2 linked regions of the Rhinolophus ferrumequinum genome follow. The protein of the gene in region 1 purifies or fractionates together with the protein of each later gene. This does not show direct contact. Links are inferred from orthologs where the notes say so. Each region holds a gene or a part of one and is shown on either strand. Other genes may lie near its edges. The genes, in order: MRPS27 and NOA1.

Region 1 (9,730 bases):
TCTGTAAAATGGAGACAGGAAGAGAACTCAACTCAGAGTTTTTCTGGGGATTAAATGAAATAACATGCCATTGCATTCTGGTGTGGTTTGTTACGCAGCAAGAGACAACTGAAACAGCAGGATTTATGATACCTTTCTTCTTTCTACTTTTTTGGTGTTTTTCAAATTTTCAATGAATTTTGTGTAATTTTGTTTTTTCTCTTCTTTTTGAAAAGAACATCAATTTTTTCACATTATAAAATTGATAATGTCCACTATACACAGGTTGGAGAAATAAAAAAAGTACACACTTAGACAAATAAAAAATATACAATGTGTAATTCCCAGAGAACCATGGTTAACTTTTGGTATATATTCTTCTAGTATTCTATATATTAATACCTTGTATTTCTCTCTATAAGTATGCAATATAAATGCAGGTCTGTGTATAGAAATATGTATTTAAAGAATGGTAAAAAGAAGCAACTGACTTAATTTCAGAAATGCAGCCTATTGATTTGCTCCCGAGTAAGCGGAACCTTTGCTGGGTCTCACCTAACAGCTGACTGATTTCATGTGAGTTCCTTCTGACATAGGAAATTCTAGTAATGGATCAGAGACAATGCAACATAACAGACATAAGCTTGGAGGAGGAAGACTAGTTAGGAGTCCAAGTGAGAGACGTCGAGACCTGAACTAAGACACTGAGAAATGGGGACAGAGGTCTACTGGGGCAGAAGAAGCAGTCGGATTTCTTACCCTGTCAGGGAGAGCATATGAGACTAGGAGAAAGAAAGAGGTTCCTCCGTATCCATCCTGAGTGACTGGTCAGTACAACAGGAAACAGAGAGAGAAAGAAATTTATATAAGTTGAATGTGAAGACCTAGGGGACATATAAGTGGAGTCAGTAAACAGGCTGGGGCATGAATTTCTTGGGGCATGAATCATCTGTTTTTCTATCCTCAGCACTTGGCATGTAATAGGAACCCAATAAGTGTTTGCTAAATGAATGAATTTAAATGTCTGGAGCTCAGGACAGGCATCTGAATGACAGATTTGGAAATCATCAGTGTATAGGTGATGGCTGAAATCTTGGAAGTAGATGAGACTGCTCAGGAAAAGGAACAAAGTGAGAAGAGACAAAGGCTGACAGAATTCTAAGGAAATGCCTCACCTGTAAATGACATTTTTAACCAGTTCCACATCATCCCGGGACTCACACAAATGAAGCACGGTTCTCAATTCCTCCTTCAAGATGAGCTTGTTCTGGGTCAATTTCTCTTCCAACTTTCTCAAATAGGTTTCTGGAAGAAAGCACGGGGTGGTGGACATCGCTAAGGCTGACCGGACTGTCAGAGTCTGGCCTCAGGGCGAAGGGGAAGCCAGAACTCGGCATGTTGCAAAGGGGCCTATGCAGCCTCCCATCCCAGGCTGGTCTCCTCGAGAGCAGTGTCAGAGACGGTGCATAAAGCAAAGCGTGTGTGTCACAGGGGCACAAGCCCAGGCCCCACTCCTGACTTTCTAACCAGAATCTCTGAGGATAGGAGCGCAAGAATATGCATTTGTGACTACCTGGGTGATCCTCATGCACACTGAAGTTTAAGAACTAATATCCAAGAGTTTTAGCCCAAAGAACTGTATTTACAGGTGACCCACGAGGGGAGGAAAAAAAGAAAGAAAATGTAACTGAGATATCCAAACTATCAATTATCAGGGCATCTAGGTGGAAAACGGAAAGAAAAATGTGAGCTGACGATACTTTTACCCATAGTGGTTGACACACGATTCAGGAATACTGCGGGTCTCTTTCATTTGGTTCAACTTTACCTCTCATTCCTCTTTGTGCCTCTCTACTCAGTTGTTAGAAAGCACGCCATAGGATTACATAATGCATAGAGTGTAAAAAAAAAAAAAACAATGGAGTATTATGCAGCCATAAAGAAGAAAGAAATCTTACCATTTGCAACAACATGGATGGATCTAGAGAACATTATGTTAAGTGAAATAAGTCAGACAGAGAAAGATAAGTACCATATGATCTCACTTATTTGCGGATTCTAAAGAAAAGAATAAGTGAATGAACTAATCAGAAACAGTTTTGGAGACAATGAGGAAAAACTGAGGGTTGCTAGATGGGCGGGAGGGGTGGGGGGTGAGGGGGAGGGTGAGGGGATTGGAGGGCAGTCGGTGACCACAGGATGGCCACGGGTTTGAAAATTAATCTGGGGAACGTAATTTGGTGGTTACCAGAAGGTAAAGGGGTTGGGGGTGGGGGATGAGGGTGAGGGGGATCAAATGTATGGTGATGGAAGGGGAGCTGACTCTGGGTGGTGAACACACAGTGTGATTTATGGATGATGTGATACAGAATTGCACAACTGAAATCTATGTAATTCTACTAACAATTGTCACCCCAATAAATTAAAAAAAAAAAAAAAAAGGTCAGAAAAAAAAAAAAAGGTCCCTTTTTAATAAGAATCATTTCAAGGTGATCATAATCTGCCTCTGTCCCTTGTCTTGCACCTGATCAACCAGCGTGGGGACGGGGAGAACAGTCACACACCAAAAGGAAAGCACTGTTTCTTGGCATTCGGAAGGGACTGTACTCTCCCCAGAATGTGGGGTGAGATGCAAGGCAGGCACGAAGTAAGCAGCTGCTTTCCAGAAGGCAAGGCTGTTCTCAGTATCAGAAGCTGCCAAAAACAAAATTTACAGGATTTGCTCCAAGGCCCGGAGCTTTGAAGGAATGCTGTTTAAAGGAGTGGCACGATATACATTAAAAACATAAGATCTGGAAGCTGAAACAGACACTGCCCTTGATTTATGAGAAAAGAAAGCCCACTAGGTTGGTTGTGAGATAATGTAGTGGGTCCTCCAATCTTGATTTGGTTAAAGGTTAAAGGTTTTAGAGATAGAAGGACCTGGGCTGAAATCTAGGCTCTGCCACCTGCATGCAGACTCTTGTCATTGAGACCTGATTCCCATGTGTGAAGTGAGGATCATGACACCTACCTCATGGGGTTGAGATAATGTATGTAAAGCATTTAGCACAGGGCCTAGCAAAGAGTAACTGCCAGTAAATCACAGACATTATTGTTCTCATTTTTTTTATTCCTTCAATCACTCTTAGATTTAAGAGGATTTATTCTATTAAATATTGCTAAATAATTTCCAACATAAAAAATTTCAGTAGGATGACTTTACATCTTGTACTTCTTAATTCTTCTTAATAAACCTTAAGAACCCCAAATTTCAACAACTGTAATTTGTATTTTAATAAATCAATCAAGATTTAAGTGCTTATCATATATGCATACACAGAGGTATGGCTCCCGCCCTGGAAGGGCAAATTCTATTCAAGAAGACAAGATATATTCATACAAAGTTATCTGACAATGGTGGTGACGCATGACTGATTATAAATGTAATAGGAGAGAAGAGAGAAATCAGGGTGGCAGGAACAGACCTGGTTTGGGGGAGTGGAGATGTTACCAGAGAGGAAGGAAACGGCGGGATAGGGTTGGAGAAACTGAGGAGAGGGGGCATTTTAGGTATGGGAATTAGCACGAGTAACAGCATAAACTTGGGGTGGGGGGAGGTGGAGAGGGGAGAACTGTGACTAGATTAATAGGAAATCACACGGGACTTCAGAAAGGGTCAAGTCAATTATGGAAGAGCTAGGAAACCAGGGGGTGAGTTAGTACATGTAGTATATAGCCCAGTACCCTTTTGGAGGCTTATAATATGAAATGGTGACTGGATTTTATAAGTGTCAATCTGACAGTGGAGTAGATTGGCACTCATATGAATTGCCTCAGGACATATGCACAACTGTCACCGCCTTAAAAAGACTATGACCGTTGGAAATAACAACCAGATAGACATGGAGGCCTAATTTTGCAAACTTTGCATATCTCCAAAAGACTGAAGTAAAATTTAAACTGGGTCTGCTAAATAGGAGATGAATATATTCTCCCTCACTCCTAAGGCGTAGCTTCTTGTACCACAGGTGGTATTATGTAACAGTATGTTTAGCAGAGAAGTGAGGGGAGACTGATTTCTGAAGGCAGGACTGTGAGTGAAGAGAAGCAAGTGTTAATTAGATGCTTTAAACACTTGACAGTGAGAAGCAGGACAGCGGAAAAAGTCAGCAGGGACACACAAAAAGAGTTATTAAAAGAGCAGAATTTTGCTGTGTTTATAAAGAAGTCGAAGTATTGGGAAAAACTCAATGTGCAGGAGAGAAGGAATGAATTTACCTTTGGTGCCAGGAAGACTATGTGCAATAGCCACCTTCTTATGCTGAAATTCTTTTAATTTCATAATGTTATCTGTAAGTAGATATCTTTTAGCTAAAAATTAGAGAAAGAAAAAGAGTAAAATTATTTTGTTTTATATTTAGCAAATAACATGAGTAGAGCTTCATAGCTTCTAATAACTAATTTTATCTTCACTTAGTATAAGTAATCCACCTAGGCAGATACAAATATAAGTCACCCTAGAGGGAAAAACATCTCCAAACTAACAAAGAATACAAGTCTCAGCAAGACAAGTTTTGTTTGTGTGTGTGAAAGGAGCTAGTGGTTGTGTGTGAGGATGGGTTGACAGGAATCTGGGATCTGAAAGACAAATAGACATTCACCATCTGGTTAAGGGATAACAAGGGAATTTAAAAACAAACCAACTAAAGGTCATCGATTAAGTGCAAAACAAGTATATCTAGTTTACCTACAAAGAATCGCATCGTGTAGTGGAAAAACTATAGTGTGACCATTGGAATTCCCAGTTCTGTCATTTTTGAAATGAAGTGTTGTGGCCTCTCAGATGTGGACTCTCAGTATCTTCAAAGATCACATCAGAAATCACTGCCAACTTAGCAGAAAAGATGTGTTTGGAAAACATCATCATTTCTTTAGGATGCTCGGCTGTGCAAGGAGTGGATGGAGCTTGGCCAAAGGATCACCCATTAAAAGAGCTCTGGGTACTGCAATAACAAGGTAACAACAAAAGTTGCTGCTTATTTGTGAAAAGGCAGTCCAGAGAAGTGGTTACATCTGGACTCTTCTGTGTGGCTGCCTGTGTTCAAATCCCAACCCTACCAGTTCCCTCGGACCTTGGGCAGATTAGTTCGACTTGCTGTTCCCTCCTATATAAATGGAGAAAAGAATGGTACCTCTATTACTGGGTCTTGTGAGAAGGAATGAGTGTATGTAAAATGCACTGATACAAAGTATTAAATATTTTATTATCACTCACCAGGATTTTCAAATTAAATCATTTTCATGAAGATATTAAGGGAAAATTTTACAAATCAAGAAACCTGCTCCAAGCCTTTCAGATTGTTAGCTAACACCTCGGCTCCCAATCTCAGTACAACCAAGAGGGAAGAGGGGTTTCCGGAGAGCAACGTAGCCCCATCCGAGGGAGTGCTACGGCCCCAAGGTCAAGACCCCAGCCCGGCTGTCCTATGGTTCCCAGGCACACCGGCGTCCACGACAGCCAGGAGCCACCGCTGCAGCCATGCACAGCCAGACGGCGAGGGCACGCTCAGCTGCCCCAGGCCCGTAAATAACTGAGGCGCTGTTATTTCTCCAAAGTGATGTGCGCTGAGGTGAGGCCCCTTCTGTCCCATCCCTCCCCTCCTTCACGGCCCGAGGCCGCGGATACCTCCGACAGGGCAGCGGCAGCAGGGGGAGCCTGAGCCTCCCACCCCAGGATACACCAAACTCCGCAGCGCATGCAGCAGGGCTTGCTTCGGGGGCCGAAAAGCAGCTGCCATGCCGTCCCGGGCCGCACCAACTGCCGGAACCGGGAGGGGGGAGGAGCGTCGGCTCGACTGGGCCCCGCCCTCAACAGCCCCGGACCGGCTTTCTCCTTGGTATGCTCCAAGATGGCGGCCCCCATGGTGCGATGCGGGATCCTCCTGGCGCGGAAAGTACTTCTGCCTCAGCATTCCCTGGCAGGTTGGTGGCTGCTGCCTTCATGGGGCTGCTTCTTTAGGTCCCTGAGAACTAGGTTCCTTGAGTGAAGGGAGAGGTGGGCTTTCAAGAGGAGAAGAAATGCTTCTGGAATCTAGTTGCTGGAGAAATGATTTGGAGTATTTGGTAGCCCAGAAAGGGGAGGTAGGGTCTCTGACCCATTTCCTTCGGTAAAATAATGTGTCTGCCCATCCAAAGATGGAAACAGCAGAAAAAGTCAAGGCATGAACGCTTTTGCCTATGATTTGCTGAGTTTGTGCGTTATGGGTGATTGTCTTTTTGCGGACCGTGAAAAGTCCGAGTATGTCCACCCCTGGGGCTATGCATTTTCCTCTCTGCTGAGGTTTCCTTGGAGCGGCGTTATAAACCACCTCACACCTGGCCAGACCCCTAGTCTTCAGTTGGTGGAAGCATTTTTCAGTATACTGATCTTACTGTTCCTGATGACATTGGGCACAAGTTTTGATTGACCTTTCTTTGCTACAGTTTTCCATGTATAGACAATAAATGCTAATATAGTTACTTCTAAAAAGTACTTTGATACCTGAGTGAATGGCAGCCCACTCAAAACCTATTTGTTTAATGGATCTGCTGCTAAAGACATTGGAAATCTTTTTAACATTTCCAGAAGCTTAATCCTGACAAGTTATATGATTAAAATGCAATAATTACAATCCATGTTTCCAATGCCTATCATCTCCTCTTTTCTACTTACCTCCTCGAGCCCCTATAAAAAAGTAACACACACACTCTCTGGCTCACACTTTTTTAGGAACAGCAATTAAATATTAACGTGAAACCTCAGATTTGGCCACCAGAAGTTTTCTGAGGATTAAACTGGTTGACCAAACTGGTTGACCTACCTGGTGAAAATATTTAATGCCACACATTAGGTAAAGTGGTGTATGCTCAATACCTGGCACGTCAGTAAGAATTAACTGTTGTAGCTGTTTACAGCTATGTGTAGTTATGGTTGTTAGTGAATGCTTTTCAATTTAAACAAGACCTTAGATTGTTTGTCAGGGAGGGTATCTTGGTTGCTTAGAATGTTTGGGGGCAATCATTCTAACAAGGGAATGGAAATTAGATAAGGGGGAATTGAGAGAATTTCCAGTTAGTATTTTGGTCTTAGTTTGAACTGGTGAACTTGTAGGTTATACACCTGTGCTACCCCCATTGTGGTAACTACTAGCTACATATGGCTAATTAAATTACTTAAAATTAAATAAAATTTAAAATTCTGTTTCTTAGTTGTACTAGCTACATTTTAAGAGCTCAGTAGACACCTGTGACTAGTAGCTACTGTATTTATTGGACAGCTCATGATTGAGCATTTCCATCATTACAGAAAGTTATATTGAGCAAGCACTGGGTTAGACCATAGATGAAAGGAGTTTTGAAATCAGGAATTAGAGGCTATACGGCAAATAATATAAGTAAGTAGGATAGTACATTATGAACCACTCGGGGTTTTGAAAATGCTGATAATAACTTGACTTTAAATCATCAAAACATCTTGAACCATTGCAGGATAAGAGAGAAAAAATTGTCTACTTTGTACAAACTCATGATATATCAATATTTGGAACACTTTGGTGCTACCATTGACTCTCCTTACTTCATAATGAAGAAGGGCAACTTAACATGAGCAAGAGGATACAAGGAAACTTTATTGAGTTGAACCAAAAAGTGACTTCACTATATGAAGAGACTAGAGAAAGGAAACTTACTGGGCACCTACTATATAGGGGATGTTAGGTTAGGCACTCACGAGGTTTGATCAAAAGATACAATGAATGTATAAATAAATAAAAAATTTATTACAGTAAAAGACACATTGTCATTAATCCCCCACAAAATACTCCCCCTCACTTCGAACACACAGTCCATCGTTCTTGCCCCTTTCTGAAGCAGTTCTGGAAGTCCTCTTTCATGAGTGTTTTTAGTTGTACTGAAATTCTGGTTTTAATTCTTTTCAGAATTAAATGGAGAAAATGTTTCTTTGTATAGCAGATATTTGAGATAGAGCATATGGTTGCCTCAAAAACTGCCTGGATGAAGGGTAAGAAGGTTACCAAATTAGCATAAATGTGGTGGCTTAAAACAACACAGATTTATTATCTTAGCTCTCTGTAGGCCAAAAGACCAATACAGGGCCTACTGTGCTAAAATCAAGGTGTTGAAAGGGATGTGATCCCTTTGAGAATCTCTAAGGGAGAACCTGTTTCCTCGGCTTTTCCATTTTTTAGAGACCACCTACACTCCTTGGTTGATGGACCCCTTTCTCAAACATCTTCAAAGTGAGCAAGGGCAAATCAAGTTCTTACATCACTCTGTCTTGCACATATCACACTAACCAACCTGACTCCCTCTTCCAGCCATCACCACAATCAGTTTAGGACATTTTCACCACCTCAAGAACAAACCTATTTAACAGTTACTCTCCAATTTCCCCCTAGCTTTCCTGACTCCCTACCCTCCAAATCTAGGCAACCACTAATATGCTGTCTGTCTCTATAGATTTGCCTACTGTGGTCTTTACATTTAAAGAGAATTATATAATATGTGATCTTTTGTAACTGGCCTCTTTTTCACTTAGCATAATGTTTTAGAGATCCGCCCATGTCATATCACATATATGTACTTCATTTCATTTTACTGTCAAATAATATTCCATTGTAAGAATATACCACATTTTGTTTATTCATCAGTTGATGGGTATATGCATTGTTTCCATTTTTGAGCTATTATGAATAATATTGCTATGATCATTTGTATATAAATTTCTGTGTGGATACGTGATTTCATTTCTCTTGGGTATTTACCTAGGAGAGGAATTGCTGGGTTATATGGCAACTCCAATGTTAATATTTTGAGGAACTGCCAAACTTTTCCAAAATGGCTGCACTATTTTACAGTTTCACCTGCAATGCGTGGGGGTTCCATATCAATGGCTAGTATCTCTCTTTTTTATTATAGTCCGAGTGGGTACAGAGTAGCATTTCAATGTATTTTGCATTTCCCTAATGGCAAATGATACTAAGTATCTTTCCATGTACTTGTTGGCCATTTGTGTGTATGTGCATATGTTTGTGTGTATGTATATGTCTTTTTGAGAAATATTTGTTCAAATCATTTGCCAATTTTTCAGTTGATTGCTCCTCTTTTTAAATTTTCACTAATAAGAGTTATTTATGTATTCTGGTTACAAGTCCCTTATCATATAAATGATTTGCAAATATTTTCTCCCATTCTGTGAGTGGTCCTTTTACTTTCTGGATAGAGTCCTTTGACACTTGAAGCACAAAGGTTTAATTTTGAGTAAGTTGCCACTCATTGTCTCTCATGCATTCCTTAAGCTCATAATTATTGAATATTGCCATACGCCCGTCATTGTGCCAGGTGCTGGGAATACACCTATGTTATTTTGTGGGTTAGCTCAAATTTGGTTTACCAGGTTTCTCTTACTTACCACTAGGGTGCTGGGTAAGATGTTACTGGTTACTTTATGTGAAATAAGGGTAAATTTGCTGATCTAAGTCAGATGGCAATGTTTTTAGGAGTAACTAACGATTATAAAGCATTTGATTAATGCATTGAGCAACAGTTCAGCAAATGTTTTCGGTGCTAAGGAGTTCTAGGGCTCACCTAGGCTGTAATTTAGTGGAAACAAATGGCTCCTAGTCCTGAAGTTATATGATCAAAATTACCAACAGTTTTGCCCATAACATTATTGTAAAAATTTTCAGTTTTCTACGTCTTCTGCTTGTTC
Region 2 (9,650 bases), on another chromosome or scaffold:
CACATAGGTATTCTTCCAATATACAAAGAGGCCTCATTACAAAGGTTCAGCTTTAAGTTGTGTGAATCTGTTAGTTTTCCATCTTCTCCAGAAAATCCATGTAATTCTCATGAATAGCGAATTATAATGATAACTAGGAGCAAGCTCCCAGTTCTCTGCTCAATAAGCTCCTCAGAGTCTGGAGTCAGAAATTAGGGTAAGGCGTAGAGACAGAAAAAGGTTCATACAGCTAAGCAATACCTTAAAGTGGGTGGTCCATTACAGTACAATTTCATACATGTATAGGTACGACAGACTGTATTTTCCAAAGATGGCCAAACCGTATTTTCCATTTCACAAGCTTTTTTAGTGTGATCTGGACATTCTTACCATCAAGATATAGGGCTCTATGTTTCCTCCCTTTGAATCTAGATGGGTTTTTGATCCTCCCATAACTAACGGAACGCAGCTAAAGAGACGTTACGTGACTTTTTGCTGTTGTTCTTACGTGACTTTTTGTTGTTAGGTCCCGAAAGGCAATGTTGTTCTACTTTGTTTGCTGAAACACGTGCTTCTGGAGCCCCAAACTGCCATTAAGAAGTGTTACTCCTCTAAGACTGGTGAGGAAGCCCAAAGCACGTGGAGAGGCCACTTACAGATGTTCCAGTCCAATCCTCGTCCTTGAGTTCTCCGAGGCTACGTGCCAGGCACGTTAGGGAACACTCCAGATCACCCAGTGCCCAGTTAGCAACACTGAGCCGTTGAGTCTGCCCAGCTGAACTACTGACATGGAGCAGACAAGTCATTCCTACTATGCTCTGTCCAAATTCCTGATCACTTAAATCCATTAAAATAGGAATTTTTAGGCAGCCAAATTCTGGGGCAGTTATGCAGCAACAGTTTGAACAATGGGCATTTGAAAAATCAGCGCACACTGAACCTCTAATATTAGTCTCATCTCCTAATGTAAAAGAATAAGTGTGCTGTATTTGATTTGCTTTTATATTCTGACCTATATATAGTCTATAAAACTTAACAGTTTTGGATTCAAAATCTGTTACATACCCAAAATAAATTATTTAATAAATGTTTCTTGAATAGCCTGGAATTATTGATCCCTACACATGGGGGAGGGGTAAGAAAGACAAAAGTATCTAAAATAGCTCAGAGATATCTAGCTTTGATGACAGATTAAGAGGTTAATATCCCAGCCACACAGGAAAAGCAAGTAAGAAGGTAGGAAAAGGAAAGAAATGAGGTCAGCTTTAGGTATATTTACAGAACATTTATCCCTTTAAATACTTACAGTAGGCAACTGGATATAAATATAAAACTCAAACAAGGCGTCTAAATTACAAAAAGAGTTGAGAATCCTTACCATGTGGTTGGTAAATACGAAAAGTTTACAGAGAAGGAAAACTGAAGGCAAGATATTAGAGAACACCCCTATTAAAGTCATGTGAAAGAAAATGAACCCATGAAGGTTGTTACTCATTTATTCATTCATCCATTTTAAAATATTTATTGAATGTGTTTACTACGTCCCAGGCATTGGCGACACCATCTTCAACAAGATAAAAGACGGCTGCATCCTCAAGGAGATTATCACCAAATGGGGAGACACAGACAAGATGAAGTCAATTAAGAGTATGAACAGTGACATGGAGTCTTAACCAGGACCTGAGGGTAGGGAAGACTTCCCAAAAGCTAAGCTAAGCAGAGATCTCGTGTATGAATAAATAAGACTAAATCAGGCAAAAGGAGGGGTTGAGAATGGGAGGGGTAGAGAAGTATTCAAAAAAAAAGACAGAAAAAGTATTCCAGAAAAAAACAACCTGTGCAAAAGACTCCACAATAAAAGATATTCAAGGAGTGAAAGAAGGCCAATGTAGCTGAAGCACAGAGCGTGCAGCTGGGAGTAGTAAAAGAGCTTGGTCTTTACCAATAGAGCTTTGCGGAACCAGTCTAAGATTTTAGCAAGGCTGTAGCTAGATCAGATTTTCATTTCTGAAAAATCACTATGGCCACAGAGTGGAGAGTGGATTGAGAGGCAAGAAAACCTTAAGTACACACACCACTTAGGAGTCTGGAGAAATAAGCTGGGCAAGGAGACAAAGTAGTGACTAGATCTGACATGTTTAGGAGATAGAACCCCCAGGGCTTGATGACTCACTAGGTATAGGGGTGAAGAAGAAGAATCAAGAATCATGCCCTGGATTCTGATTTCAACAACAGAGGAGGGTGATACCATTCACTGAGATGGAGAACACAAAAGGAAGCAGCTTTGGAAGGGGGATGAGGAAAGGAAAATGACCAATTTGAATAATGACAAGTTTGAAGGGCCTGAGAGACATCCATGTGAAACTGTCTAGTGGCAGTTAGACATACAAAACATCTGGACTGGAAATATATTTTCAGAAGTCGTTCACATAAAATGGTAAATGAAGCCATGGAGAATGGATGAAATCATCCAGGAAGAATGTGAACAGAAAAGGATAAAAAGGAAAGTCACAACATAGGTAAGAGCCATTAAGTCAGAGTGATCTGGCAAAAGAAAGGAGTTCCAGAAGGAAGTCATCAACAATATTGAATACCACTGGGTCTGGATAAAGTTTAAAAATGCCCACCTGATTTACCAACTGAGAAGTCACTGATATTCTTATTAAAAGCTGTTTTAATGTAGTGGCATGAGCAGAATTAGATTGCAGTGCGTTGAGGAGAACCTGAAAGGTGGGGGTTGAATCAAGGACAGCCTATTCTTTTTAGAAGCTTGCTGTGAAATGTGGAAAGCTTTGCCTTCCAAAGGCAAAATATTGGGAAAAAAGGAAACAATAAAGAGTTTAACTTATTTTCTTATGGACAAAAGAGATCTAATAATTCACATAGAAAGAAGCCAACTGAAAAGGAGTGTCTGAAAACTGACAAATCTAATAAAAGATACAAAGGACACAGGCAGGAATGTAAACTCAAAGCTGAAGAAGACTTTTATCAAGAGGATGACTTGTAACTCTTTTTTCCACAGAATTATTTATTAACATGGCGAATGAGAGGATAAAGCACAACAATCACTATCATGGTCACTTGGCACCATCTGGTCACTTAGCAAAATGTTAAACATGTATATCATTTGACCTGACATTTCTACATCTAGAAATTATCCTACAGACATACTTGTACTAAACAAAAAAAAGTACAAGATTATTAATTCCAGCACTGTTTGAACCACGGGAAGAAAAAGGGGAAATAACCCAAATGTCCATCAATAAGACACTAAAGTTATGGCATATCCATTCAAACTACGTAGCATTGGGGGGGGGGGAAATGAGAATGCTCTCTATGGATATGAAAATCTCCCAGGTAGATAAATACACACACACACACACACACACACATATACACACATAGACATATATATATATATATATATATATATATATATATATATATATATATAAAACGTAAAAAATAAAAAACACAGAAAAGTGTAAATGTTCCTATGGGTGGGTGGTGGCAACAGAATCCCACTTATTTCCTTGAATGTACATAAAACACTATGGAGTGATAATCTAAGACAAGTGGGTACCTACTATGAAGGGGGTTCACACTGGGAGATGGTGGGCAAGAAAAGAGACCTGACACTAACATTTTTGTATTTTCTGGCTTATGAGACACAGAAATACATTACCTAATCAAAAAATTAAATTAAGAAAAATTTTTTGAATTTCTTTTCCACTCAGAGAGGCGTTAAGGGAATATAGTAATGCTAATACATTTCTAGACTCAAGATGTAATTGACACAGAGTAATTTAAACAGCAGAGTTTAAGCTTTTGTTTTTCTAGTTTCTCCTTGAAGTAGCTGAGGTAATAAGAAATGTGAAGGGTGGCTACGGGCTGGGAGCTAGAAGTAAATGAAGTTTGAAATAGTAGCTGTGGAGAATGGAAAGGGGAGCTTTAAAAATACATAATGAAAATACAGGAGACATGACTAATTCGGCACGTGAAAAGATATATTGGCCCTGTTCAGTAGAACACGTACCATCTAAGAACTATGTTATTTTGTGGGAAAAGGAAATTTAAATGTCCTCTTTTCAGACAATTGCCTTAGATGTATGACAGCATTGAAGGAATGCCAAACTAGACCAACCCCGTCCAACCACACACTGTATTTTTTGTCCCCGGTGTATTTCCAAAGACTAACACAAAGCCTGGCCCAGGTTGACGCTCATAAATTCAATAAATCCACTAATTCTGGCCTTAAGGAAAATGAAAAAAGGAACCCTTCACTGCACACAAAGTCAAAACAACGGAATTTATGTTAGGGTTCTGCACGCTATTCCAATACAGGAAGGAGGTATGATTTATCCAGCAGACAATGGAAGGAACAAGTGCCACTCAGACCGGGAATATTAATGCTACATTCCCTGCACCCTCCACCTCTCGTAATCCCGGCTTCGTCCCCGGCCTGGGGTATGCAGGGAACATGACTGTGGACACTTGTGCAACGGGCTAGGAGGAAGGCCAATCCTCAATTCGTCCAGCTCCCCACGTTTCCCTACTTAGATGGGTCGCCGGGGAGTGTTCTGAGCGGTCACCTACCCTCGTCCGCGTCATACATGTTTGCAAACGGTTCCCGAACTCTAAGCTCTTGAAATCACAGACAGAACGGTGCGCACCAACGACCAGCACCAGGAGCCTGAGACAAAGTAATTTCCGCCGACGGCGTTCCCAGAATACTCTGCGTCTTCCGCCAAAGGCCACCCACAAAGAAGCCAACGTAAGATCTGCGCCTGCGCATATGGTAGGCTAAAGTGGACAAGGGTTAGAATTGCGCACGCGCAAACTGCAGGCCTACGGGTCCGGTGGCTGATTGCGCACACCACTCCTACAGTCTGAAGATCGGTTCCAGCCAATGAAAAGTTTTTGGTCGTTTTTCAATATTGCACAAATAATGACACCTGAAAAAAAGAAATAAGAGACTTAATTAGTAAAAAGTGTTCATTGTGGCCGTCAGCGTATGGCATTCGACGTTGTACTTTTTGCACTTTTAAAGCCGAAAAACAGTGCTTTTTAAAACGTGGCTTATTAAAGGCGGGTTATGCCATTGGTGGCGCATTGAAGAAGGCTGAAAGTGACCAAACCCTCACAAGCTTCTTCTGCCCAACCGGCACACTCTAGGTCTCCGTCCGGTACCTTTGCCACATCTTTGAGCGGGCTCTTAAGCCTTGGGGCTTTCATCGCGAGAATTTACGAGATTAGATGCGGGAGGAGGAGCCGAAAAGTGCCTGACAGTTTTCAGGTAGTTCCGGGCTTAATCTCGGGTTTAATATGCCACATGGGCCCCAGTACGCGTGCGCACAAGTGGCTCCGCCCCTTGGTACAGGGCCGGGTTCCCCATGCTACCTGCACTCCTAACCCGTAGACTGCTGTGCCCCTTGCTGCGGGGTTCGGTTCCCACCGTAGCGTGCCATGGCCTCTGGGATCCGCTCCTCAAGAGAAGATGCGCGGCCGCCCCCTCCTCCCAGCACCTGTCGGGCCTGGGACGTGAGCTTCCTGGTGGCCCGACGGCGACTGGGGGTTACGAAGGCAGGGATGACATGGAGGAGCGTTTTCTGTTCCCCGAGTACGTCCCGGAGCCGGAGCCCGCACCGACCCTAGAAGAGCAGCTGCGCGAGCTGCAGCAGCGGCAGGAGGAGGAGGAGCGACAGAAGCAACAGCGGCAGGAGGAGCGGCGGCTGCAGAAGTTACGGACCAGCCGCCGGGTGCACCCGGTCGTGGGGCACCCGGACCCGACGGTGCCGCGGAGCGGCCTGAATTGCTCGGGCTGCGGGGCGGAGCTGCATTGCCAGGACCCTGCCGTGCCCGGCTACCTGCCCAGTGAGAAGTTTCTTAGCGCGGCAGCGCAGGCCGACGGCGGGCTGGCGCGGACCGTGTGCCAGCGCTGCTGGCTGCTGGTGCATCACCGGCGCGCCCTGCGCCTGCAGGTGAGCCGCGAGCAATACCTGGAGTTGGTGAGCGCCGCTCTGCGGCGGCCCGGACCCGCCCTGGTGCTGTACATGGTGGACCTGCTCGATCTGCCCGACGCCCTGCTGCCCGACTTGCCCGCGCTGGTAGGCCCCAAGCAGCTGATCGTGCTGGGAAACAAGGTGGACCTGCTTCCCCAGGACGCTCCCGGCTACCTACAGCGGCTCCGGGAGCGGCTGTGGGACGACTGTGCCCGCGCCGGGCTCCTGCGGCTCCCTGGCCACTTAGGGCCACAGCACCCCGGCGGGGACGGGCCACCGGACGGGCAGAAGAATTGGAACGCTTCCACCGGGTCCCGCACCGTGCTCAGGGACGTGCGGCTCATCAGCGCCAAGACTGGCTATGGAGTGGAAGAATTGATCTCTGCGCTTCAGCGCTCCTGGCGCTACCGCGGCGACGTCTACCTGGTTGGCGCCACCAACGCTGGCAAGTCCACTCTCTTCAACACGCTCCTGGAGTCGGATTACTGCATCGCCAAGGGCGCTGAGGCAATCGACAGAGCTACCATCTCCCCTTGGCCTGGTGAGCCTTAGGATGCCTGCCCCTTAAAGCCACCAGGGAGTGTCTGGATCCTTCCCTGTAAAAATTCTCTCCCTACTTTGGTCACACCTCTCTTCTGTGTCAGCTTAGTGCTTGAAAAGTTAGTATATGTCATAGTAACTTCCTGATAGAAATATTTGTGTTTCTATCATAGTAACTTCCTGATAGAAATATTTACTTCTATCTTTCGGTCACTGTTCTAGGCACTGGAGATAAACCAGAGAACAAAGCAAAGTTCCTGCTTTCTTGGAGGTTTCTCTTGTGGCTTTACTTTGTATGTTTCCCAGAAAAACCCTTTGACTTTCTAAACCTCCCTTTACCCCTCAATCTTACTCTTCATATCTTGAGTTCATGATATCAGTTTGCCACACATGTTTAACATTTAAATAGTTCACTAATGCAATATGATGTATGGCTTTAGAAGACGTCAATTTTGTGGCTTCAGGGAACTTCTGTGACTGGGAAATGGGTCCATCTATGACCCTGTTTGTATTTAATAGTTGGCAAAATTAATGGCATTATTTGTTCCTTTGAAACCAGTGTTTGATTTTGCTTGGTAAGCTGTTCTTTGCTGTCCTAAACTATGAATTATACACAGAAGTACTTTTATATAGTATGGTGAAGATGGAAAGAAATCAGGCCTGCGGGTTTGGGATTCACCTCCAGGTTGAGCCTGTGAGCCATTCTCTGAATCTATTTCCTCATCTGTAAAGTAAGAATAATTTTGTAGAGGGTTGTCATGAAGGTTAAGTGAAATAAATTACAGTGCCCAAGACAGTGTTGCTCCTTGAAAATATTAGCTTTCCTCCCTTTATTCCCTTGTGCAATGTTTATAAAAATGTATTCTTTGATATTTCAGGTACTACATTAAACCTTCTGAAGTTTCCTATTTGCAACCCAACTCCTTACAGAATGTTTGAAAGGCAAAAAAGGCTAAAAAAAAATGCAAATGAAGTTGAAGAAGATCTTAGTCAGCTAGAACAAAATCAACTTACTCTCCTGAAAAAGCATGGTTATGTAGTAGGTAAGCATCTTCTAGAGGAAAACTCTTGGTGGATCTATGCTCAAATTCTTTGTTGAGCAACCTGAAATACAGCTGTCTGAGGCTAGCCAGTTTTTGCTGGGAGAGACTACTTTTCTCGTTCTGGAATATAGAGGCCCTTTAGAGGCAAGGTGGATGTTTGGAAAGCCAGAGTTCACTGTGCTAAGAAAACTGAGACAGTAGATACTTGGAGAAATGCTGGAAAGGAATCATGAAGCAACTGCCCACCTAGCCATTGTCAGCAGAAGAATTTCCACAAAGATGTAGCCTCGCTCCTTGAAGACCAGTACAGGTTGTTGACTCCATGCAGCAGCTCTAAATTAGATGGTCCCCCTTTCATTGGTTATCTCTTTTCAACCTTCATTTACAAATGCAGTTTGACTTCCACCAGTTCTCACCACCCACCTCCCTCTGATATACACAGCCAGCCACACACTTGATGATCACAAGAGTCTGACTCCCACTGACTTAGAAAGAAAAAAGCAAAGCTATCATTGTAGTCTCACTTACATACCCCATATTAGTCTTCGTAACTTGAGTTGAACATGAGAATTACCTGTCTGGAGTCAAAGGCTTTAAAGGAGTGGCTAATAACTTCAATATAACTTATTCTAGGACGAGTTGGAAGAACATTCTTGTATTCAGAAGAACAGAAGGATGAAGCTGCCTTTGAGTTTGATGCTGATTCACTTGCCTTTGACATGGAAAATGAACCTGTGATGGTTGCAGATAAGTCCACCAAACGAGTAGAACTGACCCCACAAGATGTGAAAGATGCCCACTGGTTTTATGACACCCCTGGAATTACAAAAGAAAATTGTGTATGTATTTGATGTTTTTTAGAAACTTTAGATTAACCTTCAATTGTATGAGTACCGTCTTAATTGACAGAACACAGGAAAGGAGGTATACTTTCCTTATAGACTCAGTTCTGATTCATTCATAGCAACAGTTCAGGAATGAATCTGTATGCCATCAAGTTCTGTATTCCATTTGGTGGGCTTCACTGCTGACACCCTACTTACAGTATTGTGGTTGTTACCTTAGTTAGCAAGACATTTACAGAAGCGTAGATTTTGAGGTTGGAAGAAATCATAAATATCACTGCAGTCCGGCCACCTAGTCCATGCTTGAATCCCCTCTATAACATAGCCATCAAGAGGGCGTCCAGCTTGACCTGAAGTGAGGAGTGACTCACTATCAGCTGAAGCAGTGTCACCTTGCCTCCCAAGGTAACCTATTTGATCTCTGACCTGCTCTTTTTGTGGAGCTGAACAGTCTCCCTGTAACGTATGCCCATTGTTCCTCAAGGTGTATGAAATGCATGCCTGTTTCCCTTGCCAGACTTTGAGGTATTTTAAAGTATGATGTCCTGTCTTTTCCTCACTCTCCCATTTTCTTCTCTTTCATTGGCTCATCCAACTTCCTGAGTACTTCCTGTGCTGACAATCCTGATTCTTTGTCATTATTTCCTACCTATAGACATTATTTCCTCCTCTGAGACAGGCTGTTCATCCATCCAGGCACGTTTTCAGAATGGTTTCTAACTTGTTTTTGTCTGACACTAAGAACTGAATTTCTTGTATAAGTGCCCTCAGATGAGCATAACTGAGAATAGTATTATATATCTTTTTAATCCATGGCAGGATCTCCTGGACACTTTTGATTGTATGGTGTGAAGCTCAGCCTATATCCTACAAACTCAGTAAATGTCACTTTTTATTCATTTGCAGTTTTGATCATCAAATCATTGACGGACTCAAGTGTGCATCTAGGATACAACCTTACCACAGATCTGTAATCAGTTTCCTTTGAATCTGGTTACTGACTAGTTTCTAATTTGCCTAATTATCTCTGTATCTCACCTGTGAAACAACATTGGTTTCTTAGGTACTTTTCCTTCCTTGCCTCATCAGGATCACAGTTTCATTCTCAGAATTGTATTCCATTTGGTGACTCATATCAGAATCATATGGCTCTTTTAATTTTTTTTCCCTCCTAGCATAATTGCCTATGTCCAGTTTTTTCTTCTTTGCAATCCATAACTTCAGAGTAACTGGAGTGCTTT

Evidence for each region.
Region 2: the proteins of MRPS27 (region 1) and NOA1 purify together in Homo sapiens (co-immunoprecipitation; 3 studies listed by BioGRID and IntAct, counting the BioPlex papers as one, with this or other methods). This does not show direct contact. The link is inferred for Rhinolophus ferrumequinum from reciprocal best matches to the Homo sapiens genes MRPS27 and NOA1.

Annotation. Positions count from the first base shown.
Region 1 is NC_046290.1:45,657,060-45,666,789, reverse strand, and holds the start of MRPS27 (28S ribosomal protein S27, mitochondrial), read left to right. Parts: upstream 1-5,836; 5' UTR 5,837-5,838; coding exon of another isoform or gene 5,839-5,870; coding exon 5,871-5,943; intron 5,944-9,730. UniProt on the Homo sapiens protein: RNA-binding component of the mitochondrial small ribosomal subunit (mt-SSU) that plays a role in mitochondrial protein synthesis. Stimulates mitochondrial mRNA translation of subunit components of the mitochondrial electron transport chain.
Region 2 is NC_046288.1:18,687,717-18,697,366, reverse strand, and holds the start of NOA1 (nitric oxide-associated protein 1), read left to right. Parts: upstream 1-5,297; 5' UTR 5,298-5,372; coding exon 5,373-6,522; intron 6,523-7,399; coding exon 7,400-7,564; intron 7,565-8,197; coding exon 8,198-8,403; intron 8,404-9,650. Other genes in the region: POLR2B (DNA-directed RNA polymerase II subunit RPB2), read right to left, coding at 4,576-4,594. UniProt on the Homo sapiens protein: Involved in regulation of mitochondrial protein translation and respiration. Plays a role in mitochondria-mediated cell death. May act as a scaffolding protein or stabilizer of respiratory chain supercomplexes. Binds GTP.